5 linked regions of the Daphnia pulex genome follow. The protein of the gene in region 4 interacts with the protein of the main gene of each other region in a biochemical or structural test. Links are inferred from orthologs where the notes say so. Each region holds a gene or a part of one and is shown on either strand. Other genes may lie near its edges.

Region 1 (5,774 bases), on a different chromosome or scaffold from region 4:
ATTACGATCGTAATTTTTTTGTTCACCATCCAAGAACGTATAGTAGTCTGCAGATAAAACCAACACAAAAAGAGGTAATAGATTTAAAGCAGCAAACACCAGTACTAAATTAGTCATTTTTCTCAAGCCATCAATTCAATCCCTTGTTCATCTGTTAAAGTTCAGAACCAATTTGAAGGACTCGAATTATCACAAATCTCAAAGCCAGCAGACGCCCACTGAGTCATTTGATATAAATTCCTAGGGATAGGGAACTTCGTTACGCAATACGAAACTCCTCGGGGTCACTGTAAACATGCAAATCATGATAAATAATAAATTTACATAAACATAAATTTCAAATAAATAATATTATAAATTAATTGAAATTAAATTAAATTAATTTTTAATTAAATTTGACAACGTTGTCCTTCTTTTTCTCTGATTCTTTACTCATAGAAATTTGTCTGCTAGTGCCCAGAACTGTAGAGCGTAGCCGTAAAATATTTACTGGCGACTCTTGGAAATCAAGTTTTTTACTTTGTTGATCGATTAATTTACAGTTTAAGAATATGCTTGCCCTACGTGGAACATTGAATGGCGCCCTAGTGAAGTCCTTAGGGATTAACAGCAGTGTCTCAGTACCGTCGAGTTTGTCCATGACTTCTATCGTACTGAAACGGAATCAGAGCACCGTTCCCCAATCTGGAACTGAAGGAAATGGTAATTTTCCTTCCATTTTAGGCATTTGAGATCACTTCTTACTACCAACATCTTATCTTTGAATATTCTTAGCTGCCCTGGATAAAAAGAGACCATACTCTCCATTTCAAAACACCAACAATATGGCAGAGTATGCAGTTGCCCGGCTTGATGATCTTCTCAATTGGGGAAGAAAGGTAAAAATTAAAGATTATGTGAAGTTAATCATTAAGGATTAGCTGGAAAAATTTTAATATTCAACTTTCGCTCTCAGGGATCTTTATGGCCTCTGACCTTTGGGCTTGCCTGCTGTGCTGTAGAAATGATGCACATTGCAGCTCCGCGATATGACATGGATCGGTATGGTGTGGTATTTCGTGCTTCTCCGCGTCAGGCTGATGTCATAATTGTAGCTGGTACACTTACCAACAAAATGGCTCCTGCTTTACGTAAAGTTTACGATCAGATGCCCGAACCTCGTTGGGTAACCGGAACACTTTCTCACAGATATTAGGCATCATGAATTTATTTATTTATCTCCAGGTAATTTCTATGGGAAGCTGCGCTAATGGTGGTGGCTACTACCATTATTCGTATTCTGTTGTGCGTGGTTGCGACAGGATTATCCCAGTTGACATCTACGTCCCTGGCTGCCCTCCTACTGCCGAAGCGCTGATGTACGGCATCCTTCAGTTACAGAAAAAAGTAAAACGGATGAAGACTATTCAGATGTGGTACAGAAAATAAGCAAATGTGTCATAAGCTTCTGAAATTGTAAAGTTGTATCAACAAGAGTGGTGGAAATAAACCTAGAGGTTATATTAGAAACACATGTATTGGTTCAACCACTTATTAGAAAACTAAACGTTTCGCTAATGAACCTCCCTCCCCGTTGTCCGTCACTTTACGTTTTGTTCCGCTTTTGTCGACTGCTGCTTGACTTAGAGATGCAGGTAGAGGTAGAGATGATCCTGGAGCTGGAGCTGGTTTATTGCTGTTAAGGAAGAAACTTAGAATTTTATATCTAAAAATTAATCAAAATACATACCTGAAATACGGCATTTGCAAAGCTTCGCTACAAGTACACCTGTCTAAAGGATGCAATGCCAAAAAACGACTCAAAAGCTGCAGCAAATCATCTCCGGCGGCGGTGAAAATATGCCGCATTGGAATCACGGGGAAAGCCTTAAACTGAACAAAATCTGGTAGCGAAAGCAGTCCCTAATCAAGGAAATATGACTAGAGTTTAAAGGTGGGAGACGGTTGAGTTCAAAATTGTTTTATGTACTTACTGGCCAATTCTCTTCGTTTGGAGTGCCCAAAGTTGTAAAAATACGTGTAAGTTGATCTAAGTCAGATTCTCCAGGTAAAAAGGGGAGTCGAAGCAAAAGTTCAGCCATTATGCAACCTACTGCCCATACATCAACACCGGTACCGTACATTCGAGCACCAAACAACAGTTCTGGACACCTAGTTTCAGGTGTGATCAATTTTAATTTCAGCTGAATATTTATGTTGCATTTCTTCAAATTACCTATACCACCTCGTCACAACCTGGTGAGTGTAGATACGAGTGGGTGATGCAAACGATTTTGCCAAACCAAAATCACCAAGTTTCAGTATTCCTTGACGATCAACAAGAAGATTGTTAGGTTTCAGATCCTAAAATGGTAGTTGAAAAAAAAAGAATGTGCATACTTCTGTCATAATGTACAGGGGAAAAATATATATTATTATTATTACTCTGTGAAGAATAAATAGAAGATGGAGATATTCAAGTCCTTGAAGTGTCATAAGAATGTAAGCTTTAATGTGTGCTGGAGTGAGAATGATGGTTGTGTCCTTGATTATTTGCTCCAAATCAGTATCCATAAAGTCAAACACCAGAGATACATTAGAACGGTGACCAAAGACATCAAGTAAACCAATTATATGGTCATGCTTGAGTTCTTGGAGTAACTTGATTTCTCTCAAAGCTGTTCGATTGATTCCATCTCTAGCCTCTTCTCGTGAACCCAGTTTAATCTTGAACAGAAATAGTGTTAGTATTTTATAAACGAACCGGAAACGCTGAAATGAAAACACATTTTTTAAACCTTTTTAACGGCAACTATTTTGTTATCGTTTAGAGTATCTTTCGCCTTGTAGACTGTCGCAAACTAAATTACAAAATAAAACAGTTGAACATACACAAAAGACAGTGCCAATCAAAACCTTACCTGTCCTTCTCCCAAAAATTCAATCTTTTCATATCGCTGAAGTCTAGGTTCTCTTTCTCCACTCACGTGCATTTTTCATTCATACACTCAAAGTTTCTTTCAACTTTTAATCACCCGTCAAGAACGATTATTTTAAAATGGAATTTCACTCGTCAACAGGTGGCGTGAAAAACTATTGTTTATCTTTCTATTACCACCGCTAGATCGATCTGTTCTACAAAATGTTTCGGATTTTGACATCTCAAACCTGCTTCAGTTCTATTTCACATGTGCTTTATCACTAAAAATCTGAAACTTCTAAAATTCACGGCGAATAAAATGGGAATTGCAGATACGTAGTAAAAATGCCGAGTAATAAAAAAGGTTCTGAAAATGATGAACCCCAAATATAGACAGGCTGACCATGGTGAGTTCGAGTTGACTCCTAGAAAAATTCCCTCGCAGAATGTTGTAATTCGACTGATTCGTCGAGAGACTCATGTCAAACCCGGAAACTATCACATTTGCCGATCATTTTATCAAAGTGTTGTCCCAAATTTTACAATTGTCAACATAGAAAAGCCACCATGCTATTTGAGAAAATTTACACCCAACGGCAAGTACTTTATTGCATTCTCTTCAGATCAAACTTCAGTGGAAGTTTACAAATATCTTGGACCAAGTGCAGTAGAAGATTTACTTACAGATGTTCCAGGAACGAGAGAGTTTGTTGGAAATGATACCAATGAAGCTGTAAATTTAAGAAGTAAAGTATTTTCTAAATTCTTCCAGTTAAAGCATACTATTGCTGTAACTCCTGTTGGTGAACAACTAAATCGCGAATGCAGTCTCTTTGTCGGTGACGGAAGATTTGTTATTGTCGGTTCAGCCTCGTACGTTCCCGAAGAGCCCCAGCCAAATTTTTTTGATATTTTCCGTAATAATGAATCCGTATCTCCTCATCCTCGTTCTCCACTAGAAGATTGCTCACTTCACATCGTTGACATCGTCAATGGAAGGCTCTGTGATACTAGAACAATGAAGACCGACAAAATCTTTCTCTCACACAACCAAGGACTTTACTTGTATGAAGACACTCTAGCAGTTCTCTCTGTCCAGCATCAAACGATACACATTTTTAAAATTTCACACGATGGCTATTTTGCTGATGTAAAAACTATAGGTCGATTTTGTTTCGACGATGACGAATGGTTAATCAATCAAGTACGGGGACTTTGGCCTTCGGGTCAGTTGGTTCGTCCGTTTCGAGAGGCAACTGTCAACGCGCTCAAGCATCGTTTACTAGTGTTTCTCTACCGACGAGCAATCAACATGGCTGAAGCCGAAGGGAATCTCTTTCACGTACGAAAGTTCTATCAGAACTTTGATCACATTCGCGCACTCCGAATCTGGAAAATGCAGTTGTTGGATGAGTCACATTTGCTTCTGAAATATGCTAGTGAAGATGTGGTTACACTACGAGCTCCAGACCCAAATACGCAACCGGCCTTCTTTGTCGTTTACAATATGGAAAACGCACAGGTATCTTGATTATAATTAAAAGAAAAAAACTTAATCCCACGTATTATTGTTTTACAGGTTATTAACGTCTATGAAAACACAAGTCAGGAACTACTGAACTTGTTCGAGAACTTTTGCGATTTACTACGCAACGCAACACAAGGATCACCGTCCAGCAACGTATTTGCAAACGTCATTCATCAACGATTCAAGCAGACCATTGTCAGCGCTCGCTTTGGTGGGCAGACGGAAGCCACAAAACGACTTCTTTCACAACTTCCCATTTCAGCACAATCCTATTCCTCTTCGCCTTACCTTGATTTGCAGCTGTTTTCCTATGACGATAAATGGGTTTCGCTCATGGAGCGTCCAAAGACTAGTGGAGAGCACCCCATTCGTTTCTACGTCCGTGAATCTGGACTGCTGCGGTTTCGCATTTATGCTGGTATTCTTGGCCGGCCAGCTCCGCCTTCTTCTGCCCGTCGCCTTGTTGCTTTCACGTTTCATCCAACAGATCCATTTGCCATAAGTGTTCAGAGAACCAATTCCGAATATGTAGTCAATTTTCACGTTCGTCACATTTAAATTCATGATTTAAAAATACAAATCATTTGTGCTGTATTGAAGTGGTGCCACTGTATGTATTTCATTTTTTTAACGGGGGAAAGGAGTCTAACTAGCGTCTTCTGATTTACGGAACTCCTGGTTATTTCTCATCATTTCAAGCGGAAAAAAAATGAAGAGAGGCGGTAAAATAGTAAAGAGCGCGGCCAAAGATTGAGAAAAAAATGTTTTAAAAAAGATTTAAGGGAAAAAAAAAAAAAAAAACTGATGCAGACACCGAAACGTAACACGATCATGAAGATATTACACCAAATTGTATACAAACTGCCCGATACCAAATTCATGCCCGCGAACGGTTAAGACTTTCAGGTGATGTTGCTCTTTTTACATAGCAGGACTTGCCAACTTGCTCTGAATGATGGATGTTTTCCTGGTAGGAACAGATTCCGGAGTTGGAATGGCATCCCCAGTTGGGTGTCCAAGATTGGCAGGTGGGATTACTGCTGTTGTTGCTGCAGTTGGTATTTTAGCTGGTCCTTTTTGTTTTGCCATTTGGTAATCTCCAGAGTCAAAGTACTTTTGCTACAATAAAATTATAAGTGAAATAGAATTAGTTGGTAAAACATTTCAGTTGGCAGATTGCATTCAAACTTTCTCATATTATTGCACAATGGAAAGTAACACAAAACACAGCCAAAAGCAATAACAAAATTAGTTGTTTTAGATAAAAAAAAAGTTTGCTTACGCCTTTGGCAAGTCTCTTTTGCAAGAATGCTGAGTGTCCAGTTACAGGGCGGGCATTGTAACGAG
Region 2 (3,933 bases), on a different chromosome or scaffold from region 4:
TCACACACCTGTCACCAGACACCAAAAAAAAGTGAGAAATAAAAAGTATTAAACCAGTTTCTGTATTTATTCAACATGAATTTTGAGATATAGTAATCACATTTTATGACTTGGAAAATCTTTACTTGGTGCGGTATTTCTTGAAAAGGGGGTGTTTGGATAAATTATTTGAAGCTGATGGGCGTTTATATTCCATATAAACTGCGTCATCGGCACCGCTCATTGATGCCATGGTTCCAACGCGTCGTCCAAATGGACCAGGCCGACCTCCAATTTCTCCGGGTACACGCTCTTCATCTGCATCAATATCCGATGCTGTCAGAACCATTTGTAGCAGGTTGGCTTGCTCTTCCTTGCTCTTGTAGTTCAATTCCTGGTCTTGATCCATGCCCGCCATGCGAGTGATGACTTTATAGCTGTATCCTTGATTAACCAAGAATCGCTGACGTTTACGAGAGAAGCTCATTTCCAATGTATCTTGCGATACCAGCGTGTAGAAGAACGCATTGTACTCCTCCGCAATGGCACCTTTCTTGGCTCGAAGAATACGCCCCAAACGTTGAGCTTCTTGACGACGAGAGCCACCGTGCGAGGATATTTGAATAAGCACGTTGGCATCAGGCAAATCGAAGGAAGTATCAGCCACCTTACTGACGAAAATTGTGTTCACCTTCGGATTCAGTTTGAAATTTTGTAGAATTTGAAGCCTTTCGTTCTGAGATGTTGGACCGTAAATGAATGGCTTATTCATGGTAAGCGCATAGTGCTTAAGAGCATACACATTATCCGAAAAAACGATGATTTTGTCATTACGTCGCTCGTGGTAGCGAATAAGAAACTGACAGGCTCTAAACTTGTTAGGATTCATTACGAAGAGAAGCATTTTCTTTGCGGATTTACAGGCCAGATACTCGCGATAGAATTCTGGGCTCATAGGACACCATACTTCAGCGCATTGTACTCGAGCAATGAATCCACGTTTTTGCAGCTCCAACCAATTAGCCTCGTACAGCTTTGGTCCGATCAAAAAATTCAAGTCTGCAATCTTGTCTGTAAGATAAAGAAAATCGTTGATCAGACAAATAAATACATTACAGGTAAAAATAATCAAATACCATCTTCGCGGACGAGAGTAGCTGTCAAACCAAGCTTGCAATGGGCTTGAACAATGGTCAAAACACGACGAAACATGCGAGCTGGAATAGTGTGCACCTCGTCCAACACCATAATACCCCATTCCTGCTCCTGGAGCCACTTCATCGTTTGATCTGCCTCATACGAACGTTTTTGCTGATGTGTTATCATGTTAAAGGTTGTGATCATGATGCTGCATCCATGAGGCTTATCCTTTGCATCAGATGTAAAACGACAGATCATACCTGAAATGAAAAAAAAAAAAAAAACATTTATTTATCAAGTAAAGATAAAAACATATTAACAACTTCTTACTATCGTCAGCAGTAGACCACATCTTAAACTGGGCTTTCCACTGCTCGACTGAAACTCCAGAATTGCACAGAACTAAAGCTCTTTTTCGAACTGTACAACAGGCTGTCACACCAACCAAACTTTTACCAGCTCCACAAGGCAAAACAATGAGCCCAGAGCGAGCACGACCATTGCCAAACATTTTTCGCAGGCTTTTTTCCTGGTAAGGCCGCAATACAGCTGCAGGTCTCAAATCAATGTTTATGTCCTGATTATGAGTGTCGTTACGAAAATCATATTCCGCTAACAAAGGGTATTCTAGCTGAATACATCGCTTTTGAATGACTTCAATTTTTTCTTGATTTACTTCAAATGCAACCGTTTGAAGAGAAGAATCATCTTCGTCGTCCTCATCCTTGTCCATTTTGTCGTAAAAATTCGATATGTCATCAGGCACTTGCTTTCCTTCTTCTCCTGGTTCCTCTCCTGAAGTACCAGGTTTTCCAAATTGAATAGACGTTGCTTTTGATTGAACTTGAGTGATCAGTCCATCTGTTGAAGATTCCACGCTGTGACGAAGTCTGCATTCTTGAATTACAGGATCTTTCAACAATTTTTGGATGACATCTGGATATTGAGACTCAACAAAATAGCGATTGTGCTTCAACACTAATTTGACTTTGCCGTAAGAGAGTGTTGAGATCTTTATGAAGTCTACAATTCCATCAGGGACAGCAGTTTTGCTTAAGCGCTTTAAATACTCTATGATGTCATGAGTTTGCAGCCCGACACTGACGGCAGCATACAATGAGTAAGAAGTCAACTTGTACTCATGTATGTGTTCTGGACGACAAACTGGTTCACTTATTGCAATCAGAAAGTCGTGAGCGTGTTTGTAGACTGGTGAGAATGACTCCAGGAAGATGTGGCCATTGGGAGCAACCCACAATGGTCTAGACATGTGGTCTGGTTTAAGCTGCAAGTCTCGATAATCTTTGGCTCCATATTCATCTTCCCCTTGCCTTTCACCTTCAACTTCAATGAAGTGCTTTGCCGCTTCTGGCACACCCTCAGCTTCATTTCCATCCGGTATGCCTTCATCATAAGCACTCTCATCTTCAAAATCCTTTCGTTTTTTACCAGCAAATTTTTTCTTGGACGCGTCATAACGATCTCCATCTTTTTTCCCGTATTTACGGCTCCCCCCAGCCATATTAAACAGAGGAATAACCGTGAATTATTCTATGAATACTGCTGGAAAATTCTAAACAAATTTAACTTTCTCGGTAAAGTGATTGAATGATGAACTTTGGACGAACACTGAAGTGAAGACTGAACACTGACAGTGAAAACTCAGCTGAGAGAGAGCAACAACACAAAAATAAATCGCCTGAAGCAGAAGCATGGTTCGGGCACACATAGCACACCTAGCGGAAAATCAAGAACGAGAATTATATTTTGTACTTCTTGATCGTTTCGAGTAAATTTATACTTTGAAAACTTATTTCTAACTTCTAAATTAAATGAATTATTTTCCTATATTCAAGCAATCAACGGAGATCATAATAGCAGATGTTTATGCATATATTAAACACCAGAGGCGCACTCGGTACGTCTTACATGCCTTCTTTCCTTGAACGTGATCGTCTGCTTGATATTTTGGCTTTGGTTTGGCAAGTGGCATTTCGCTAACTGCCATCGGAAATAAGAAAAGCAATTCAAATAATTCAATCAAATACATCCAGTTATTATTCTTTCGGATTTCGATCCTGACTTAAGTACTCCTCACCTTGCAATAATGCCCATCTTCAAGTTAAACTAAACTCTACGAGAACTTTCCTGTTGGACGAAGATGAATCCACTAACGTAAGTACTACATAGCTTTTGCATCATTCATAAACTCATAATCTTGTATCAATATTATTTGTGAGAAATTTTCGATTTATGGCTAACTTAAAAAGTATGTTAACACATAGTGAGGGTAAATATAATAAAACTTATCGAAGGTTTTGTGTGGGGGTGTTGTAATGTAGGGACTGGACAACATAAATATAGTTTGGAATCATGTTATCTGCTGGTGCTGCGTAGAACGAAGCATATTATATGCTACCTTATTAGACTAGAATATATTATAAGTTCATTATTAATATGGCTATTTCCTTTTTCTTAGGAATGTGAAGAATATCAAGAAACTCAGCGAGACTGAACTGAAGTACAACATATCAGGAAAAGCTTCATGGCATTATCAATACAAAGACAGTGCTTGGATTTTCATTGGAGGATTGCCTTATGAATTGTCTGAGGGGGACATCATCTGCATTTTTTCTCAGTATGGTTAATACTTAAGTGATGTTTATTATTGCTATTAATAGTTAAAATTTTTTTTTAAGGTATGGAGAGGTTGCAAACATCAATTTAGTACGAGACAAGGTTACAGGCAAGTCTAAAGGCTTTTGTTTTTTATGTTACGAAGATCAAAGATCAACAATTCTTGCAGTTGACAAT
Region 3 (5,688 bases), on a different chromosome or scaffold from region 4:
CTACACAGTAACAAAATAATTTCACAAGAATTACCTCAACTCCAGAATAACCATCTTCGGCCAATTCACGGGTCAAGAAGGCGTTCAATTCAGCCTTGAAGACACCTCCCGCCACAAACTGTAATACAAAATTATAAGAAAATTAGGTAAACTCAAGCACACTGACAATAGAAACATGTCAAGCCAAGACGAATTTTATCCTCCAAAATCTTTCACATCCTGGTTAGAAACTGTTCTATTTCATCAATAACACCTCAATATTCAAACGGTGAATATGTGAGAACAAGATGAAAAAGATTCACGTGTTGAAAGAATTACTTGCCTTTCGTTTTTTCGAGATCTGAGCCGTAGCCATTTCACGTATTTTAAGACCGGTCTACGAGAGGAAGAAGGAATACACAGTACTTTTTCTGTAGACGAAGTTGACAAGCCCAGCATTGCCTCCTTCTCAACCCCCTCTTTCGGAATTCATCTTCCCACATAATTTATTTCAGTTTGCTTTTTAAAATTTTTTCAACTATCATTATAGAAATAATAAATTATAAACAAGTTTAATTGGTTCATATTTGTTTAAAAGATTTCAAAAGTTTTATTGTAGATTTTCCATCTGTCAACTCCGACAGGAAGTCCGAAATTCAACAGCGTTGGACGAAATCAAATGTTATAAGTAGGACTGTAAAACGCCATTTGAAGCATGTGAAGCTCCCCCATCTGGTTTGATTGCTGCTAGCCAGTTTTGTATTCGTTTCGGTAAATATCTTATTTAATTCATGCAACTAAGACTGAATTTTGCATTCCTTTGAACCACACTAGCTCTACTTAGCTTATAGTGGCCAAGCGGACATGCTAAATTAAAATTTATTCTGATCTACCGTTGTCTCCTTATTTGGAACACATGGATTGAACCGAATTAAAACATTTGATAGTAGTAACATAAAGTAATTGATGTTGAAGGCACTGAGGCACACTGTGGATAATTTGTTGAAGTGTGCTTTAAATGGTTTTCTATGATGTTGAAATGCTAATTCTTATTCTGTTGTTGTACAGGAACCCTCACATCGCTACCTGAAGTTGCAGATTTCCTGGTGAAATAATTCTGTTTGGTGTATTTTATAGTATCTATATTGACAAATAAACAATTTTTAAAATTACATTCTGGCAAATTGTAACTAGTGAAAATTAAAACAAATTAATTTGTAGATAACTATATTCAGCGTTAAATTGTTGGTTGAATCATGGTTGGATGATGAATCTCATCAAGAGACAGGCTGTTGCTATTCTAATAGATTATGGCTTTTGACTGAGATAATATAATGTTAACTGTAAGTAGGGTACCATGAAAAGCTGTAAATATTAACATGTAACCTTTTACTTGATTCTTGTTTTTACAATCTTACGATTCTGTTTAAAAGGGGTTCCTCGTTAGCACATAAGCCTACTTTTCGCACTGAACTCGCTCATGAAATCATTTCTTCCTGATATGGTTGGGATAAATTATATTGGTAAAATTTTCAAGTTCGCATCGATGTATTGGACCACACACTTGTTAGCACGGGAATTTTTAGACGAAGGGAAAATTGTAGCCTAAGAGAACATTTTATCGAACAATTTCAAGGGCAGTTGAAACCCATTTGAGTTATCTGAAGTTATGTGCATCCAAGAGCTGTTTAGTAGTTTTCTGAAAATCACAGCTTTATTAGAAAGTTAATGGACTGTTTACTTATTAGTCCTTGTCTTCATCTTTGTAGTGGCGGTATTCCGGTTTCAGTTCCCACATGTTTTTGTGAGGATTCTTCAAATTGTATACACAAACATCCTTCAAAATTTCCTTGAGGTAGGTCTATAAAAGCAGAGGGTTTTAAAAGTGCAAATGCTTGTATGAAAACAACTTTTTCTTACCACAGGTTGGTTGGTGAGTTTTACCAAGTCCTTGATGTTGTAGTACTGATGCTTTTCAAAAGCTGCAAACAGCATGTCCATAACTTTGCCCTTATCATCTCTGGCTTTCTTACCCTCAGCTTTCTTCTTTTCGTCGAATTCTTTCTGTAATCAGGAATAAAAGGTTATGATGTACCAAAAATAGACGAGAATTGCTATATTTACATTATGCTTGTGGTCAGAGATGGGTTTGTAACTTTGAACCACTCGATCCAATTGCTTCACAATTCTTGTAGGTTGGGCAGCTTTAATCAAAGAATCCCTTTTGAGTTTCATGTAACTTGCATTTGCTGATGAAAATAAAAATCATTAATGCTCACTTCAAGCTTAGGAACTTTATTTTGTTGGTCTCACCTGTTGGTCTACATTCAAGCTTCTGGGCAACTTTGCCTTCAAATATGATCTTCTCAGTTTCCATAGGTGAGTTCGCGGTGGCTGGAGCTGGGGAAACAATACAAAAATGTCAATATTAAATTAGATTAATTGCAAGCACGCCACTTTAAATATCATGCTTTAAGCTCAGGCCTAAAATAAAAATCTTCCCCATAACTGTCAAGTAGTACGTACTGGTTTGTTGAGAAAATACACCCAATGTTTGTGAAGTAATGTGTGAAACAATCAATCCATGCTCTTTAGGAATAGGTTCCTCTCCTTTTTCCTGGAGACACATAATAGCTTCCGACAGAATAAGTTTGACTTGAGACTTTTGTCCTTGCACCCTGAACAAGAGTTGTAATGAGTTAATAAAGGATTTGTCGATTTGTTAACATAAACCAATTGATGCATACCTAGTAATATTCAGTTGTCCAGCTGTAATATTTCCAGGGCATTTATCCCATCGACTTGAAATGTATTTTGGTACTTTCACCAACCAAACACCCCGACTAGCTGAAGACATTTCCATTTCCCTTTCATAAACGATGACATCTTTGTCTTTCTCCTTGTCTTTCTCTTTTTCTTTCTCCTTTTTCTTTGACTCCATGGTTTTCAGTTTTAAAAATTCTGCTTCAACGTACTAGAAAAACCTATTCAAGAGAATGTAGTTCTAAATATTGGCCGGCTTTAATAAAACAAGTAATCGTTTCTTCTTTCAATCGACAACGTCACACAACTGAAAAGGTCTTCAAGTCTATCGTCTGCTATAAATCGCGCCAGAGCGCGTTCTTTTGTTTTATTAGATAAGTTTACGCAACCATCAGTTCGTCAACGCATTTTTCTTTAATAAAACCCCCCAAAAATCGAAATGGCATGGAAATTTAATGGCCTTAAAAAAAATAACTGATCAAATTTGTTGTTGCACAATCCCTTTAATAAGCTTTTAACAGGAAATAGTTTGATTGGCCAACATTTTTTCATTTAGCTTTTTACTCCTCCTCAAATGTAACCCTGATTGCATATCTCAATGCTCAAATCTCAAATTTGTTTCAGTATGAATTCCCTAATATTATTATTATTATTATTTTCTTGCCTTTCTAGATTTATAGGAATTTGCAAATCAGGACGTCTATCTGTGTAACTTTCAGACGCGGAATAATGTGGTATTTTTCATAACGCCCCGTGAGAAGTGATTCGGAATGTTTGGAATTTTAATAAGTACGAAATCACCGGAATGCCTGGCCAAGTATATAATCGCCCTCTGAAACAAAGCAGAAACTGGGAAACCTCTTTTTGTACTAGTTGGTCTGATTCGATCGGAATATGTATTACCACTTGTAACTGGATTCAAAATCAAACAATTCTACGAAATCGAGAAAGTTATAACAACTAGATTGGTACTTAAGGCGATGTCTTGTGGGGGGACAATGTCCGTCCACTAACTCCTTTTACTATAATTGAGTTCTATCACTAGTACGAATTGCTATACATGTATAACATAGATTTGTCTAAACAAGAGATGGCGAAACGGTAAAAATAAAAAGAGCACAGCAATTTGAAATTCTAAACGGGTTTCCCTTTCTCATGGTGGCCGCTGGTGGCGGAATCAAGAAGCTGACGACCAGGCCAGCACTCCACTCCGTGATCGAATATACAACATACTTGATTGCGCTTTGAAATGGACAGTGCGAGAGAATAGAAACATATATTTTAGTTTGAAAGTTGTATACACTAGTCCAAGATAATTGAAAGAAATTATCTACCGAAGAAAGAACGAATAGGCTATTTTAAATTTGATCATTTTACACTGGTGAGTATAAGCTATAGTGAGTCTAAATATTCTTGTCGAATGCAAACGAACAGAGAATAAAAGTCATAACCCAAGTTGCGGTTATCGCACTTTAAACTGCAATTTGTATTCCAATTAGTACATTCAAGGTGATTAAGAAAATGTGTGAATTAAATATTAGGCTATTAATTCGGTTATTGCGATTTATTAAAAGATATTTCATATTCAACCTATGATTCTTTCATTGTTATTTATTTCATAATAAAATCAAAGAGTAAGAAAACATTTTATGAGCTTTTATGAAAGTAAAGTTGTGCAGCCAACAATCTCAAGTATGCCATCGCTTCAAGACCAACTCTTCCAGGAACACATAAAATCATGAATATTTAATTTCGCCATTCGTCTTCACGGCTAATTTTTCTTGCCTCTTGCGTCTTGCAATGTGTGAGTTCTAATTAGTTTAATTACTATTCTCCAGCTTCCTACCGTCTCCCTCTAAGCCAAAAAATAAAAATAAAATAAAAAACAACTTTTTTTAATTAGTGAACCCATGAAAGTTAAAGAGAAAAAATATGAAGGATGATCCGTGACCGCCCATGTGACTGGATTTAATACGTTATCCTGTCTATTTTAATCTTTACAATAACAATAACAATCTGCAACAATTATGAATAGAGAAATTTCTAATTGATCGCAAAAGTACAGACTACTAAAACAGAAATGACAAATGTGTCGCGCATTATCTGACCTATATATAAACGCCACATCGCTCATTGGCGATCATAAAATGCTACCTTGCCCCCACTAGATAACACAGAAAAATAAGAAAATAAAAAACCGTCACCTGTCGGCCAAATTGGAATCATCGGTTAGCTCACAAAGAATATTCCCTGCTCCACCCCCATCGGTCTTATTTTAAAAAAAGTTCCTACCCTGAAAGTCGTCGTCGTCGGCAACCATCGTCGTTTTCTTTCGGGCTGTTTAAGTATGCTGGGCGCATATACATTGGTTGCTGCGAGTAGTATCATTACGGGCGTAAATAGACATACACCTTTGCGATTTTTATAGCGTGTCGGGAGACTTGTAGCCCAGCGGGAAGAAACGAAAAAAACCGGTTGACGAACGAATAAGTCGCGTAATAAATCATCAACTTTCTCTACCTACAACATGATGACATGAAACGTCCAAGACAGCTGGATTTTTTTCTTTTCTTTCTTTCATTCTATCAAACACTCCCGATTCTTAGAATATCGCCGAGTGGCTGGCACATCAACTCTTATACGTATAGTTGCTCATTGCATAACAATCTTACCCAAAAGGAATATTATAAATCTAAAAGAAAATAAAATACAGGGTCGCTAAATCAAAAATAACCCATTTGTAGATACTGGGAATAAAACTCTGGCTTGATAGTTTCAATCATCGATAACAGTCAAAATGTATAACCTGACATAACCGGTAACTAAAAATTCTAGAAGCGCATCTAGCGAGCAATATATAGAGCTAGTGGCTTGTGTCACCCAGGGTATACAGTATATAGCGCTTATAACAAAATCATGTGTCTAATTCGTAAGTAGGCTAGTGTA
Region 4 (6,365 bases):
GAGTCACACCTTTTTGGGCTCGGAAGGGAGGGACCAAAAAAGGGCCCATCTTCTTCGGGATTTTTTGGTTTCCAAATTTCTCCGTGTGTTGGTATACAAACAGAAACCAAAAAAACACTCCATAGCTCTTTGCATATCCCAAAAGTAGAAGTATCGCGGGGAAAGATGAAACGCGCTGGCTGCTGTGGTGCCGGGGTAGCGTTTTCCCACGATTTCTACACGACTCTATCGCGCCTGGCGCAGACGGCCATCCGATTCGATGACTCAATTGATTCGCTGCTGCTTTACATGACCCTTTCCCACGCCATCGTCTTCGGTTAAAAGGCGGCACCTCTCACTACACGCCTCGACACGTCTCCAACCGATGCCGACCACTTTGGCAATTTCACTTCGTGTTAAAACAAAACATTTTGGACGAACGTCGTCGAGATGGCGGCAATAAATTTCAAAAAAAAAAGACAGATTTGGGTTTTTTTGTACAGTTATTTCCAAATAGTTTTCAAGCATTTACAAATGTTTCATTTTAAAAATTGTCAACGGGTTATGTTCTGTCTAGTTATGAGAAGCCGGTTCCCGTGCCAAATGAGGGTTGGATTATTAAGATATCAATGGATAACAAGTCGTAATCGGGATTACAACGTGTTCATGAACCTTTTTTAAAAGTACAAAGTGATTACGTGATGATCCAAATTTAGGGGAGGTTTGAAATTGTATGCGGATTTCGGGGTTCGCTTTAAAATATTGAGTGGGAAGGCGGAATATTTTGACAGTTAGTGTAGGCGTGGGAGCGCGGCGTTGAGGATTGATCGTCGTCTTCCACCCCTTTTTTCTCCATCATGAAAAGATGGCCAGTCCCCAAAGATTTGCCAATATTATACGGCAGTCATCGGATCAGCTCTTAATTCGATGCCCCCAAACTATCAACTGGGTTTTTCATTCCTTTTTTTTCCAGATGAAAAAGAAAAACTTTATTTTTTTAAATTTTCCCAGGCATCTGATTTTCTATTGCCAAAACTAATTCAGGTGTCTTGTAGGAAAAATCGAGAAAGAGTTGTTTAGGCAGCAACGATTTTCAGGTTGTTTGGTGGTGGTGGTGTTGGGGGAGTTGTCCTGCTGGACTGCGCGTTGCTGGGCTGCGGGTGATGCTGCTGCTGCGCACACAAGCACACAGCTCCCGTTCGGCCATTGGCTTTTTATTGTTGGCTATGATGTGACCTTTGACCGCCCCCCGCGCCGACAAAGGATGCCGACGTGCGCAGACAATGGCCACCGCGCCTCTCAAAAAGTGCCGCCCATGCAGCCTCGTTTCTTCATTTCTACGTTTTCAAAATGTCTTTTCTTTTTTCAATCTGTGTCTTCTTACAACTCTCTCTCCATCTCGTATAGAGTATAGCCTACGGGCCCTTACATATAGTAGACCTAATGGCATCTTTAGATGGGACTCTAATGCGTCCTCCCTCCCCCCCCCCCCTACCAACACTCTAAAGAGTCGAATGTCATACATGGAACGCGTCGGAAAACATGTTGTCGGGACACACCTTTTCTCCTCTCTTTCTACACTTTTTCCACATGTGTACGTATAGTACACTTATAGAGTCAATCAAAACAAATCGCCCACCTTTACGTATAATATGATAAACATATTCTACGGACGGTCGGTTACATCCGGCCTGACGTTTTTTTCACTTATCAGAAAAAGGAAATTATTTGCTCGTTAAGACTTATCTCGCAACAAGCACATGTGGGTCAAATAAAAGTTTGTCGGCCGACAAGAAAAACCGCTTGTGCTTTTCTTCCTTCATCCGTGACTCGGGCTCAGAAACGAATTGGGAATTGTGTACAGGAAATTCTCACAAGATAAAAGATTATAAGGGGCGGTAAAAGCAAATGTTTCGAGATTGTTGTTCAAGATACGTGCAGGGGAGATCTACATACAATGTTGTACGCCGGTGGTACATATTAATTGCAAAGTTTACTACTGACTCTGAATGAATATGACGCAATCTCCATGCAATTGCGGCTGCATCAAACGAAGCCGGTGGATAGTTAAATATATAAACAACCAGTGACCACGTCTTGCGTGGTATATTGATGTAATAAGCGCTTTCCCTCGTTTTCCCTTTGATTCTATTTGAATTATTCGGGATGGAATAATTCAAACGAACCGCGCACGCGTCATGCACGAGGAACATCCATAAAAGAACACCGGAAAGGACAATTTCGATTGCGTCGGCACATTCAATTAACATACGTGCATCATCCCCACTTTTAAAATGATTTTGAAATCAAAAGCGTAGATTTATTATTTAAAAAAAAAAGATTTGATAAAAATCTTACGTTCTAAATTCAATTTTTGAATAAAAGGGCGTAAAATTTAATCAAAGTGTAATCGAATCTGTAGCGTTTGTAAATTTTTTGTTTTTAGAAGTCTCAAGTCTCACAAATGCAAAACGGAAGAAGAAACGAAAGAGAGGAGAAAACGGAAAAGGAAGAATATTTTTTCTTTGCCTTTCGCACACAGTACCTTGAGAAAATAGAGATTGAGACAACCAGGGACCATCTGGCGAGAAGCAGACAAGTTACACCAGGAACACTCGAAACAGCCAGAGTACAAATTTGTCGAGAGGTAGCGATGGTTAATCCAGGTAGCCCATCCTTTCCATGTATTCTTGGTGGAGCTGGACGTAGGCATCCTTTTCGGAGGGCGTCATGCGGGCAACCTGTTCCGATGGAACTTCGTGAACAGGGAATTCCAAGTTTCCAACTCTCACCATAGGAACTTCTTCTTCCGAGTCACTGTCCATCAGCTCGACATCACCTAAGAAGAAAAACAAACATTTACATTTGAACTATTCCAATAACGAAATTCGATTCTTACTGTCGTATTGCACTTGGCGTTGGATAGTATTGGTAGCCGGAGTAATCTGTTCAAGAAGAGATCTTGCGGCCGCTTCGTCATCACTTGAATCGGCTGGAACAGCGGCCTTTGTAGTTGGTTTTTCGAGTTCCATAAGAACGGACATAATGTCTTCTTGGTTGCGATTCTTCTCCGTAGAGAGAGTAGGTAGCTCCATCTGGACAAAATTAATATTCATTGATAAGATGTCACTTTAAAAATAGACTGTATAATAGAATCCAGTTTTACCTCGTCAATGATCGCAGGTCCAGCAATATTGTCATTGGCGCTGGTAGCAGCTTCATTATCGACGGTACTTTCTCTCATCCATATGGGTGCCTCCTTGCGAACCTCTCCTTTCTTGACAACAGCATTATCACCGATAGTGACGTCGACGCGTTGTTCATCCAGTCGGAAAACACCTCCTCTGGTTGCCTCTCCCGACCAATTTTCGCCCATGGCTCCCCTGGATTTGGGTTTTCCATCGGCATCCCTAATGCAAATAGTGAGAGATTAAGATTTGTAGATAAGGCATAGGATTGGGAAAATTCACCTTTGCAGATGAGAAATGTCAGTCGGTTCTGGTTCAAGCAAGGCTGGGGCCAGTTTCACGTCCTCAACTTCTCTTAGCAATTTGTACAAAGGCTCCATTTGGTCGTTGAACCGAGCCATGAGCTGCCGTGAATCTGTCTTGGGTATGGCTGATTCGTCTTCAACAACCACTGCACCACAGAAATTGCATTTGAATTCCCCACTTGGGTCAGCAGGATTAAATAGTCTGTCAGCTTCCAAATCAGTGAAATTCTTTTTGCAGCACGGACAGTGAAAACTTGCTCTGCTTGTGGCATCTCTTTCAGAAGTTTCCATCTTCTTTCTCATATGATCCAACTTGTATTTGACAATATTGACAAAAATCTATAAATATAAATTATTACATTAACTTCAATTATAACACAGTTTCACCACAGATTACCTTGTAATTAATGTAAAAGTAGTTTACTTTCTGAGATTTCCCATCCACTGTTTCCATCTTCAAGCGTGTTTGAAGAAATTTGTCATTCCGTAGGGTTGAAATCCTACCTCTCAACATTTTACGCTCAAATTTTAATAAGTCTGCAATGTCATCCTCCTTCATACCTGATATAAAATTGAAGGTTCAATTGAAAAGTTTCAGTGACAAAAAATACAATACATACATGGATTTCTGACAAGCATGTCAATGATCAAAGCGTCCTCAATCGTATAGAATGCCCTGGCAACCAGTCGAGCCAACTGTTTTAAGCTGCTCGGTACTTCGTGGACGTATCCGTCATCCATCGCAGTTATTCAGAGAGAAGAAGTCTTATAAATTAAAGTTTTTCAATTGAGTGAGTGTGTATAAACATTAGACTCTGAAGAAAGAAAGCAACATCAAACAATCTCAAATATATCGTCTGCTATTTAGGCGGCTTTTCTTGAAATTGCCACATTGCCACGTATGCTGCATCTACAACATTTTTTATTATTTTGCATTTTGCTTTTTTTTTGCCTCGCGGGATTTTGCGTGCCTGTTACCGTGTTACGCAATATCGATTGGAATAGGCCTTACATTTATACATTACATTGAATGGCAAATCTTGAGATACATGTAATAATAAATTGCATGACTGATCATCAAATCGTTAGTAAGTGAATTCATTATGAATATTTAAAAACAGACTCGAAACACCTGTGAAGTGTGTAGGCAAGGCAGGCATTCTTGCTCCGATCTGGCTTCAATTATTCAACATCAATTTTTAAAATTAATTAGGTTTAAATTTATTTCTAGTGTTTTTTTTTTAACTAATTACAAGAGATAGAGAAGAAGAGATTACTCATTGTTTAGTTTAAACTCTTGGAAAAGTGGCCTGTGGGTTGTTAAATAGGTTTGTTAAATAAATTCTGCTGTTCGACGTGAACCACCCGAAAATCGAATATAGTATATATGTATATATGCTTCACTGTTTCAACATATTCAATCTTTATTCTTTATGATTCACCACTGTAGGCTACATTATTCATAAACTATAGAATGCCACAAAAGTGTTTTGTATGAGCCTTTTTAATCATTGTTCATCAATTATCATGGGGTTGCAATTCTGCATTTGTTTACCAATGCTAGAAATTCTCCACACTTGAAAATTGAAACTCTTCAAGACTTTGGTGTTGAAGCAGAATATTCTTTCCTTCCTCGAAACCTTTGCCTATTATCAAGCTGATAAAGAAAGATTATTTTTAGATTTCCTATTTATGTGAACAACATTATAATTATTATTTACAATAGAACGTTTGCATTCAAAGAATGACTGCCTAAGTTGATGACACTCAGCAGGAACGGATGGATGATTTTCTAAGAGGCATTGGCGGGGTGTTTTCTTTTCCTGGAAAATTCATATTATTTTTAGTTCCGGAATTTTAAAAAGATCCACTTCGTGTGACTCATTATTTTTCATAACAACACGTAGACATATACCTTTTTGAAGCAATCTGTGTTCTGAATACAGAACTTCAAGTCTTCGCGCAAGGCGCTGCATGGCCTCGTATCTACCACTAACTGTTCGGGTTCGTAGAAACTCTGAGGCATTTTACTTAAGATTGCCGAAAATAAGATATATCTTAAATCAGTAACAGATATATTTTAACCAGTCACTATAGAGATCTTTTTGGAATTACGACCAAAGTCTAACTGAATACTGAAATCCGTGAAAAGTTCGTCTGCTTTGAGTGTCAACAAGACAACAACGCTATGTAGTTAATAAACAGCATCCGATATTCCGATCAGGCGATCATAGATTTATAGACTAAAATTTTTTATGTTTACCATAAAAGTTTAAATTAAATTCTTTCCTGTTTAAAAATCAAAGGTTCCAAAATCAAAATACACAAAAGCATTATTACAAAGAAGTGTATTTCATTTTCAAATTAAGCGATCGGATCCAATGGTCGATTAAAACCTCCTTTCCTATTCATATACTGTCGGTATTTTCGCTTGAGGACAACTTGAACTGTTCCGTGCATTGGCTCTTCATTTCCTTGGACATGTTTTCCTTTAGTTGTATCAAAAGTACCAAAGCCCATCAACTTCATCATTTCAGCTTCTTCTTCAGTTGGATCAATGAATTCTTCTGACGTTACTGGTTTTCTGGTGACTAATTTGGCAGGCTTCTCTCTGGATCTTGATCTGCTTCTTGTCTTTGATTTTTTGGTTCTTCTTTCCTTGCTTGCAGATCTTCTCCTTCGGTCTCTGTCTCTTTCATGCTCACGGCTTGATTTGCTTGGCTTTTCACGGTCTCTGTCTCTATCCCTAGACCTTTCTTTGTCTCTTTCACGTTCCTTGTCCACCTTACCACGTTCTCTATCTCGATCACGTCGACTGCGATCTCGTGAACGAGATCTATCGCGAACTTTTTCTCTTGACCTCGAGCGTTGTCTTCTTCGAGACGATGGCGAG
Region 5 (6,527 bases), on a different chromosome or scaffold from region 4:
CCCCTCAAGGCTCGTGCGCAACGCGGGACTTTCCCTCTGAAATAGTAGCTTCCACTTACACCTACACACAATGCCAAAGTGTGTCATATACTATTGCCTTCGTTTTATCTCTACCCGCACGAATTGTATACGCAGTTGGTTATCTGTTGATTTACAGACGCCAGACGAACGAACCAGTTCGGTTGCCATACAACCAGGCGGAGTTGTACACAATTTTAGATTCCAAGCAGACACACACACGAATGATAGTGAACGAAAATAATCGAGGACTTACTTTTCACGTGATCGCCAAACAGACTGCCAGAAAATTTCCACAACCACCTGTTTTGCCTAATTAAAGAAAACAGGATTTTCTTTTAGTTGAATCCAACAGGGAAGAGATGAAACAAAGTAAAAACTTGTAGAAACAAACTCCTGACCTAGCAGACACAGTCAAATAAACAAGTCCACAAGCTCAGAACTACACGAAGCAACTCACAATGCCGACGGACCGTCACGTACAGATAACACATACGTCGTATCCTTTCCCTTCATATGGCTGGCGGGGATTCTAGCTCGGCACATTTCGGGCTGTGGTGACACGCAACGCTACCTATCGGACCTATCGAGAACAAGTGAATGAACTTTGTATTCGTAAACACGCACGGGGAAATTTGGGAAACTGTTGCACTATTGCATGTTGTACCGATAACACACACACAAGGAAATCATTTAATAATAAAAAAACAAACATTTTTGATTAAATTTCAAGGTAAACAGAAGAGGCGCATACATTTTTCTTTATGTGGAAGGATATGGGTAAATATCCTCGAGCGTCCTTGGAGCCAGCGGCCTATCTGATGGAATTTAATAGCTTGACTGCCTCGTGTTTGGCCTATGATATCAATGTAAAACCATTTTTATCAAACAATAAAATGTAGAAAAGGTTAATGCGTTATATGTCACCTCCAAATCTTCTGACGAGGCGATAGCATAATCTCGAGCTCTGGTCAAATAAGCGATAGCTTTTTCTTTATTGTTGAGCCGCAAATATGTTTTCCCCAGCATCAATAAATTCGTACTGAAACGAAACCATTCAAAATGCACAATTATTTAGAAAAATGAAAAATTAAACCAAGCCGTACCTGTAAAAATTCGGCTCAACTTCTTCCGCTCTTAGGAAATACTGCAGTGCCTCTTCGTAAGAAGATACGGGCGGTGTAGCAAACAAGGTTGAGGCAATTTGCCTCTGAAGCCACGGCAATTCAGCAACAGAAAAGCACCTAAAGTTGCACGAAAATGTGTTACGTTACATACAAAAGAAAAGTTGTTATCTTGTCATACCAGTAGCCTAGCAAATGAAATGAAGTTGCATCCTTTGGGTTGAGTTCACACGCTCTTTCTATGTGTTTCTTGACGACAAACGATTGAGAAATGCGCTCCTTTAAGCCCTCGTAGGACGCCTTTTTATCTAACAAAATAAACATCCACTTGTGAGCAGCAAAGTTTTCCGGATCAATGAGCAGCGCCCCTTCAACATAACCGTATGCTTCAAAATCTAATTCTTTTTGTTCAATTGGACTGGACGATAATTTCGCTACTTCATACGTCGCTCGTGCCAGTCGCCAAAGAATTTCGGCATTATCTTCGGCCTAAAAAAAGTTTTTCCAACATTAAAACAGAGACTGACAAATCAGTTTATTCTTATTACCTTGTAGGGCAACAGAAGACTTCTCAATTTGGTGTAGGAATGCTCATTGTACAAGACATCAGCTTCAGAAATAAGATTGGTCTTATTTTCTCTTTCTTCATCAACTTTTACACTAGCAGAGACTGCAGGTAACAAACCCAGCATCCATCCTGCAGATTAACAAGTTATTGATTGTTTTTGTTACATGAATTCAAAAATTAGGCAACTTACCAATGTTTCTTGAAACTAGAGCTGGTTTCTTAGGAACAACATTCAGGAATCTTTTCCTGTACACAACAAATGCATGGTAAACTATTCCATATATTTTTCTCCCAGAGAACGATAACACCATGACGAACGCTTTCCACAACAGAAAGAAAATAAATGACGAAAAACGAATTAGGCAGTTGAGAATAGATAGGTAATCTAATTCCATGGCGACCAAAATTGGAACTAACGAACTTCAATAGTTGAAAAATGAATAATCATTTACTTTACTTGTAATATTACTTAACAATTTAGACCTCTTTATAAAAAAACTTTTTGATTGGCCATTTTTGGATATTTTAATAAGGTAAGTGAGAAATAGCCTTTCACAATTTATCATGTGGTTCAAGGCGGGAAGTCGACAGTGCAGTCTCGACGTGAAAAGAAAAGAACTGAAGCAGACGAAAACTGAACTGGGTCGTCGTCGACTATTTTTCTTCAGTATCGGGTCGGGTATAAAATTCGTTGGCGCTGTTTAAAGTGTCCCAATATTTTTTGGCATAGAAATTTCGATCACCACCCCTTAATTTTGGCCTATAATTTAGTAACGTGCATAGTTGGGTTAGTTATTTACCATTCGTGACGAACTTGTGACGAACACATCGGTGGTGTGTCTCGATCATTGTGTCGCCGGTGAGAAGTTGTTTTGTCAATCGTTTTTCACCGTCACATCATAATGTCTGCTGTTAACAAGGTACAATTTTTTTGTCTTCTCAATCAGTTAATTCAATATTAATACATGTGTTTCTCAAGACTCCTACTGGTGGATCAACTCCTGCTGCTACCAGGGTAAAGACATTTTGGTTTTTAATTAATTAGTTCAACATAATAATATGTGTTACATTAGACTCCAGCTGCTGGTGGATCAGCTCCTGCCGCTGCTGCTTCTAATGTTCAGACTATTGACATTCGAGTCCCCAAGTAAGAATATCAGACATTACCATCTAGATTTTTGCCTTCTTAAACCGAGTTTATAATGTTGTCACAGGAACATAAACAAAAAGCTTGCCATCATGAGATTCAATGGCTCAATGGGTATTGACTTTGTACAATGGAAAGATCCAAAAATGGAAAGGGAAAACAACCAAGTCACATTCAAAGGGTTCAATGAAGATATGCCAAAGTTTGGTGCTGGGAGTGAATATGGCAGAGAGGCTCGTGAGGAAGCTAGACGGAAGAAGTATGGCATAATAAGCAAAAAGTATAATCCTGAAAACCAGCCTTGGATTTTACAACATGGGGGAAAAAGTGGGAAAAAGTTCAGAGGTATACTAAAGTTGGAAACCAAGCTAAGATAGCAATAAGAAAGTTTAGTAATGTGCAATTATATTTATTTTATTAAACAGGAGTAAGAGATGGTGGCATTAATGAAAATGCATCGTACTACGTTTTTACGCAAGCACCAGATGGTGTGTTTGATGCCTTTCCTGTGCAAGAACAATACAGTTTTCAAGCAGTTCAAAATTACAAACCACTGAGTATTGAAGAAGCAGAGGAAGGGTACAACATGAGGAACAAAACATACAACATGTTCAATGTCATGATGAGAAAGAGACTAAGGAAAGACGATGAAGACGCCGAAGAAGAGGGCGAGGAAGAAGGTGAAGGCAAAGGAAAGAAAGGCAAGAAAAAGAAGGGAGCTAAAGGTAGGCAACAAGCAAAAGTTCCACCATAAATAATGTCACAAAATTATAACAACTTTTGCATTCAGATTCTCGTTTTGGTGATGAATTGGACGATATGATGGCATCTTCCGATGACGATTCTAGCGACGGCAATGATGATAACGACGACGATGATGGAGAAAGTAAGAAAAAGAAGAAGAAAGGCAAGAAACCTGTTAAGCCGAAGAAGAAGCGAAAGAATGCGTCCGATGATGAAGCTATCGAAGATAGCGATGATGGTGATGGTGAAGGCAGAGAGTTGGATTACATTTCCTCTTCCGACGATGACGAAAGGTATGTCATTAATCTTGATGCATTTGTCGATTTTCTAACACACCCGCGTTGTTCTTTAATCTAGTGATTTCGAGAAAGAAGAAGCAAAGGACGGACTAAAGGGTGTTGCCGAAGAGGATGCTCTCCGCAAGTTGCTTAACTCGGACGAAGAAGATGAAGACGAAGAAAAGGAGGAAGAAGAAGACAAAGACAAAGAAGAGGAAGATGCTGAAGGTGCCGAAGACCAGCAAGGTGATAAGGCTTCCAAAGACGAAAAAGGCGACAAAAAGAAGAAGAAAGAAAAAAAGAAGAACAAGGATAAAAAGCCCCGCAACGAGGATTATGGTAATATCCATTTAAAAACATCGTGTGTTTGAGTCAAATAATAACGAAACATTTATCAGGATCGTCAAGCGACAGCGGTGCCGAGAGCTCAGCATCCGAACTGGAGAAAGCTAAACCGAGCCCAAAAATGAAACCGTAAGTGCAGTAATTTGGTTTCCTGACAGTTAACTGACAAACTATTTCTAGGGGGAGTGCCAACAGTTCTAGATCAGCTACTCCGACGAAACCTGAAACATCGCCGCCTAAAACAACGCTATCAGATAGCAAGCGAAAGGGAACACCTGCAGTGTCCGATGCTCTTACTGGCCAAGCAACAAAGAAACCTCGATTGGACATGGCATCCGCTGCTTCAGCTGCCTCTGCCGCTTCAGCTGCATCATCATCTAGGTATTTATAAATAATGAACTAAAATTAATCCTGAAACGTTATGTATATTTTTTCTTTTACAGTGCCAATGAAGGAGTCAATGAAGAGTCTGTTAGACGTTATTTATCCCGCAAGCCAATGACAACGACCGAATTGCTTCAGAAGTTCAAAAGCAAGAAAACTGGTTTGTCGTCGGACCAGCTTGTCCATCACATTGCACAAATTTTGAAGAAGATCAACCCCGTGAAGCAGACAATTAAAGGGAAGATGTATTTGTCGATTAAGGCTTAGCGACAATAACGATGATTGGTGTGTTCTGTTTGTGCTGCAATCACTATTGCTACTTTACTGAAATTATCTCAGGCCTTCCCTTTACGGTTTATAAAAACGGACTAGAACGGTTGTTAAAATGCGTGATTTTCGGAACGATTAAACAAATTTGCAGTTGTAAGTTTTGGTATTATTTCAACAAGTTATCTGTTATTGGAAACACTTCACATTTTTAGATGAAAAACAGCCATTGAACTGACAAGTTAACATTTCTTGGTGGTGAGCAAGGTGCTGGATATTCGTTCAGAATACTATAGAGAGAAAACTTGAAGTCGCTTTGACATGTCTGCTTCGTCGTCTGTGCAAGCCCTTTTCGCGTTTTCAATCAAGAATTCAATATCTTTCTGATAATCGGCGGAATATTCGGCGACACTTTCGACGGAGAATTTCTGGACTCGGAAAATAAACATTAAAAGTGTATCAAAAACTACAAACATAAAGTAACCTACATTAGCAGCTTCTTTCATATAATTTGCAGCAGCTTTCCAGGATGGAGCAAATCCAAATGATACAGTCTTATTCATGACCATTGTCTCAATACTAAGAATTGGATACTTTAGTTTCAGCACAAATTTTATCATAACATGCAAACCTTCTTTGAATATCATATGTGACAGAAATCAAGAGTTCATCAACTTGTGGACATAGATATATAAAGTGAGGTCCATCATTGGTATTGACAAATTTAGTTAGCCTAATTAACACAAAGTTGAAATTCTGCAGTTAAAGAAGTATGCATGAATCAAACACTCACCAATTAATTTTCTCCTCATCGTAGGCTTCATCTTCTGTCCAGTGCTGAAAGTAACATTTAAAGTCGATAAGCAGGAATGTGGCTTGGGATGCTGGGAAATAGCAAGAGAATGGCACCAAGCTTTCTGAGTCTGACCAAATGGATTCAATATTAGTTAACATACCTTAGTATCGGTAAGTGATTATATTATTATTCATTCTTTAGCTCACTATCTTACAATGTATTTGAAAAGATCGTTCGAGTCTTTCTATAAGTACGTCGTTATTCAATTCATTGTGAAAAATGGCAATGGGTTTATTTTTCCACATATGATTTTCCTTGATAAGAAGCATTTCTGACAAAAATGACGAGAACTAAAAAAGAAAGATTCAAAATTTCAAATCTTGAATGTCAAGACTCAAGAGCTCGGTCTGTATAGCTGTCTCACTCGCGCTCTGTTATTAATCTAAAAATTCCAGCAGATGTCTCTAGTGAACGGTTGTCGTCTGCACTTGTTCAGTTGTTTGTTTTTTATCAAAGTCGTCTACTCTATACTTTCTCTTCCCAGAATCTATTTGACAGAATTGGAATTTCCAAAGGAATTGTGCAATTAGCAGAATTTCAAGGGAATTTCCGATTAATGTAGAAATGGAATCTTTAGCTGATTCTACGTGTAATCTTGCAATTAAAGAAGTACAAGCAAGTTTAGACGACGAAGATGCCGATATAATTTTGAAAACAAACGATGGGACGTTGAAAGCTCACAAATTCGTTCTCAGGGGTTGCCCATATTTTGCAGCAATCGTCGATGGAAACTGGAGAGAAAGTCAAGCCTCGATCATCACCTTGGATATGTATGATACATATAGCACTACTAACA

What was found.
Region 1: of the proteins of general transcription factor IIE subunit 1-like (region 4) and cyclin-dependent kinase 7-like, one has a biochemical effect on the other in vitro, tested with the Homo sapiens proteins (3 studies listed by BioGRID, with this or other methods). The link is inferred for Daphnia pulex from reciprocal best matches to the Homo sapiens genes GTF2E1 and CDK7.
Region 2: the proteins of general transcription factor IIE subunit 1-like (region 4) and general transcription and DNA repair factor IIH helicase subunit XPB-like form a complex in vitro, tested with the Homo sapiens proteins (2 studies listed by BioGRID). The link is inferred for Daphnia pulex from reciprocal best matches to the Homo sapiens genes GTF2E1 and ERCC3.
Region 3: the proteins of general transcription factor IIE subunit 1-like (region 4) and general transcription factor IIF subunit 2-like form a complex in vitro, tested with the Homo sapiens proteins (2 studies listed by BioGRID). The link is inferred for Daphnia pulex from reciprocal best matches to the Homo sapiens genes GTF2E1 and GTF2F2.
Region 5: the proteins of general transcription factor IIE subunit 1-like (region 4) and general transcription factor IIF subunit 1-like form a complex in vitro, tested with the Homo sapiens proteins (3 studies listed by BioGRID). The link is inferred for Daphnia pulex from reciprocal best matches to the Homo sapiens genes GTF2E1 and GTF2F1.

Annotation. Positions count from the first base shown.
Region 1 is NC_060020.1:945,100-950,873, reverse strand, and holds cyclin-dependent kinase 7-like, read right to left. Parts: upstream 3,047-5,774; 5' UTR 2,973-3,046; coding exon 2,901-2,972; intron 2,841-2,900; coding exon 2,778-2,840; intron 2,707-2,777; coding exon 2,425-2,706; intron 2,344-2,424; coding exon 2,216-2,343; intron 2,152-2,215; coding exon 1,974-2,151; intron 1,903-1,973; coding exon 1,730-1,902; intron 1,676-1,729; coding exon 1,534-1,675; 3' UTR 1,498-1,533; downstream 1-1,497. Other genes in the region: glycosylated lysosomal membrane protein A-like, read right to left, coding at 1-117; NADH-quinone oxidoreductase subunit B 2-like, read left to right, coding at 552-702, 775-878, 956-1,165, 1,225-1,428; DET1 homolog, read left to right, coding at 3,273-4,421, 4,479-4,985; cAMP-regulated phosphoprotein 19-A-like, read right to left, coding at 5,349-5,546, 5,710-5,774. UniProt on the Homo sapiens protein: Serine/threonine kinase involved in cell cycle control and in RNA polymerase II-mediated RNA transcription. Cyclin-dependent kinases (CDKs) are activated by the binding to a cyclin and mediate the progression through the cell cycle.
Region 2 is NC_060020.1:5,844,935-5,848,867, reverse strand, and holds general transcription and DNA repair factor IIH helicase subunit XPB-like, read right to left. Parts: upstream 2,801-3,933; 5' UTR 2,642-2,800; coding exon 1,450-2,641; intron 1,380-1,449; coding exon 1,116-1,379; intron 1,051-1,115; coding exon 122-1,050; 3' UTR 47-121; downstream 1-46. Other genes in the region: RNA-binding motif protein, X-linked 2-like, read left to right, coding at 3,281-3,294, 3,599-3,757, 3,819-3,933. UniProt on the Homo sapiens protein: ATP-dependent 3'-5' DNA helicase/translocase. Binds dsDNA rather than ssDNA, unzipping it in a translocase rather than classical helicase activity. Component of the general transcription and DNA repair factor IIH (TFIIH) core complex.
Region 3 is NC_060025.1:404,805-410,492, reverse strand, and holds general transcription factor IIF subunit 2-like, read right to left. Parts: upstream 3,075-5,688; 5' UTR 2,921-3,074; coding exon 2,727-2,920; intron 2,658-2,726; coding exon 2,506-2,657; intron 2,380-2,505; coding exon 2,293-2,379; intron 2,229-2,292; coding exon 2,104-2,228; intron 2,044-2,103; coding exon 1,900-2,043; intron 1,841-1,899; coding exon 1,724-1,840; 3' UTR 1,509-1,723; downstream 1-1,508. Other genes in the region: 40S ribosomal protein S3-A-like, read right to left, coding at 35-118, 323-355. UniProt on the Homo sapiens protein: TFIIF is a general transcription initiation factor that binds to RNA polymerase II and helps to recruit it to the initiation complex in collaboration with TFIIB.
Region 4 is NC_060024.1:11,575,250-11,581,614, forward strand, and holds general transcription factor IIE subunit 1-like, read right to left. Parts: upstream 4,342-6,365; 5' UTR 4,214-4,341; coding exon 4,093-4,213; intron 4,034-4,092; coding exon 3,870-4,033; intron 3,812-3,869; coding exon 3,450-3,811; intron 3,390-3,449; coding exon 3,146-3,389; intron 3,075-3,145; coding exon 2,879-3,074; intron 2,819-2,878; coding exon 2,637-2,818; 3' UTR 2,369-2,636; downstream 1-2,368. Other genes in the region: cytochrome c oxidase assembly factor 5-like, read right to left, coding at 5,067-5,129, 5,194-5,295, 5,388-5,498.
Region 5 is NC_060018.1:348,972-355,498, reverse strand, and holds general transcription factor IIF subunit 1-like, read left to right. Parts: upstream 1-2,303; 5' UTR 2,304-2,612; coding exon 2,613-2,630; intron 2,631-2,689; coding exon 2,690-2,725; intron 2,726-2,783; coding exon 2,784-2,857; intron 2,858-2,924; coding exon 2,925-3,202; intron 3,203-3,282; coding exon 3,283-3,582; intron 3,583-3,647; coding exon 3,648-3,894; intron 3,895-3,958; coding exon 3,959-4,218; intron 4,219-4,277; coding exon 4,278-4,353; intron 4,354-4,404; coding exon 4,405-4,605; intron 4,606-4,667; coding exon 4,668-4,875; 3' UTR 4,876-5,035; downstream 5,036-6,527. Other genes in the region: regulator of microtubule dynamics protein 1-like, read right to left, coding at 833-874, 946-1,060, 1,125-1,262, 1,324-1,631, 1,691-1,839, 1,901-2,130, 2,194-2,276; uncharacterized protein LOC124188758, read right to left, coding at 5,166-5,303, 5,364-5,454, 5,507-5,608, 5,669-5,798, 5,886-6,000; uncharacterized protein LOC124188749, read left to right, coding at 6,296-6,501. UniProt on the Homo sapiens protein: TFIIF is a general transcription initiation factor that binds to RNA polymerase II and helps to recruit it to the initiation complex in collaboration with TFIIB. It promotes transcription elongation.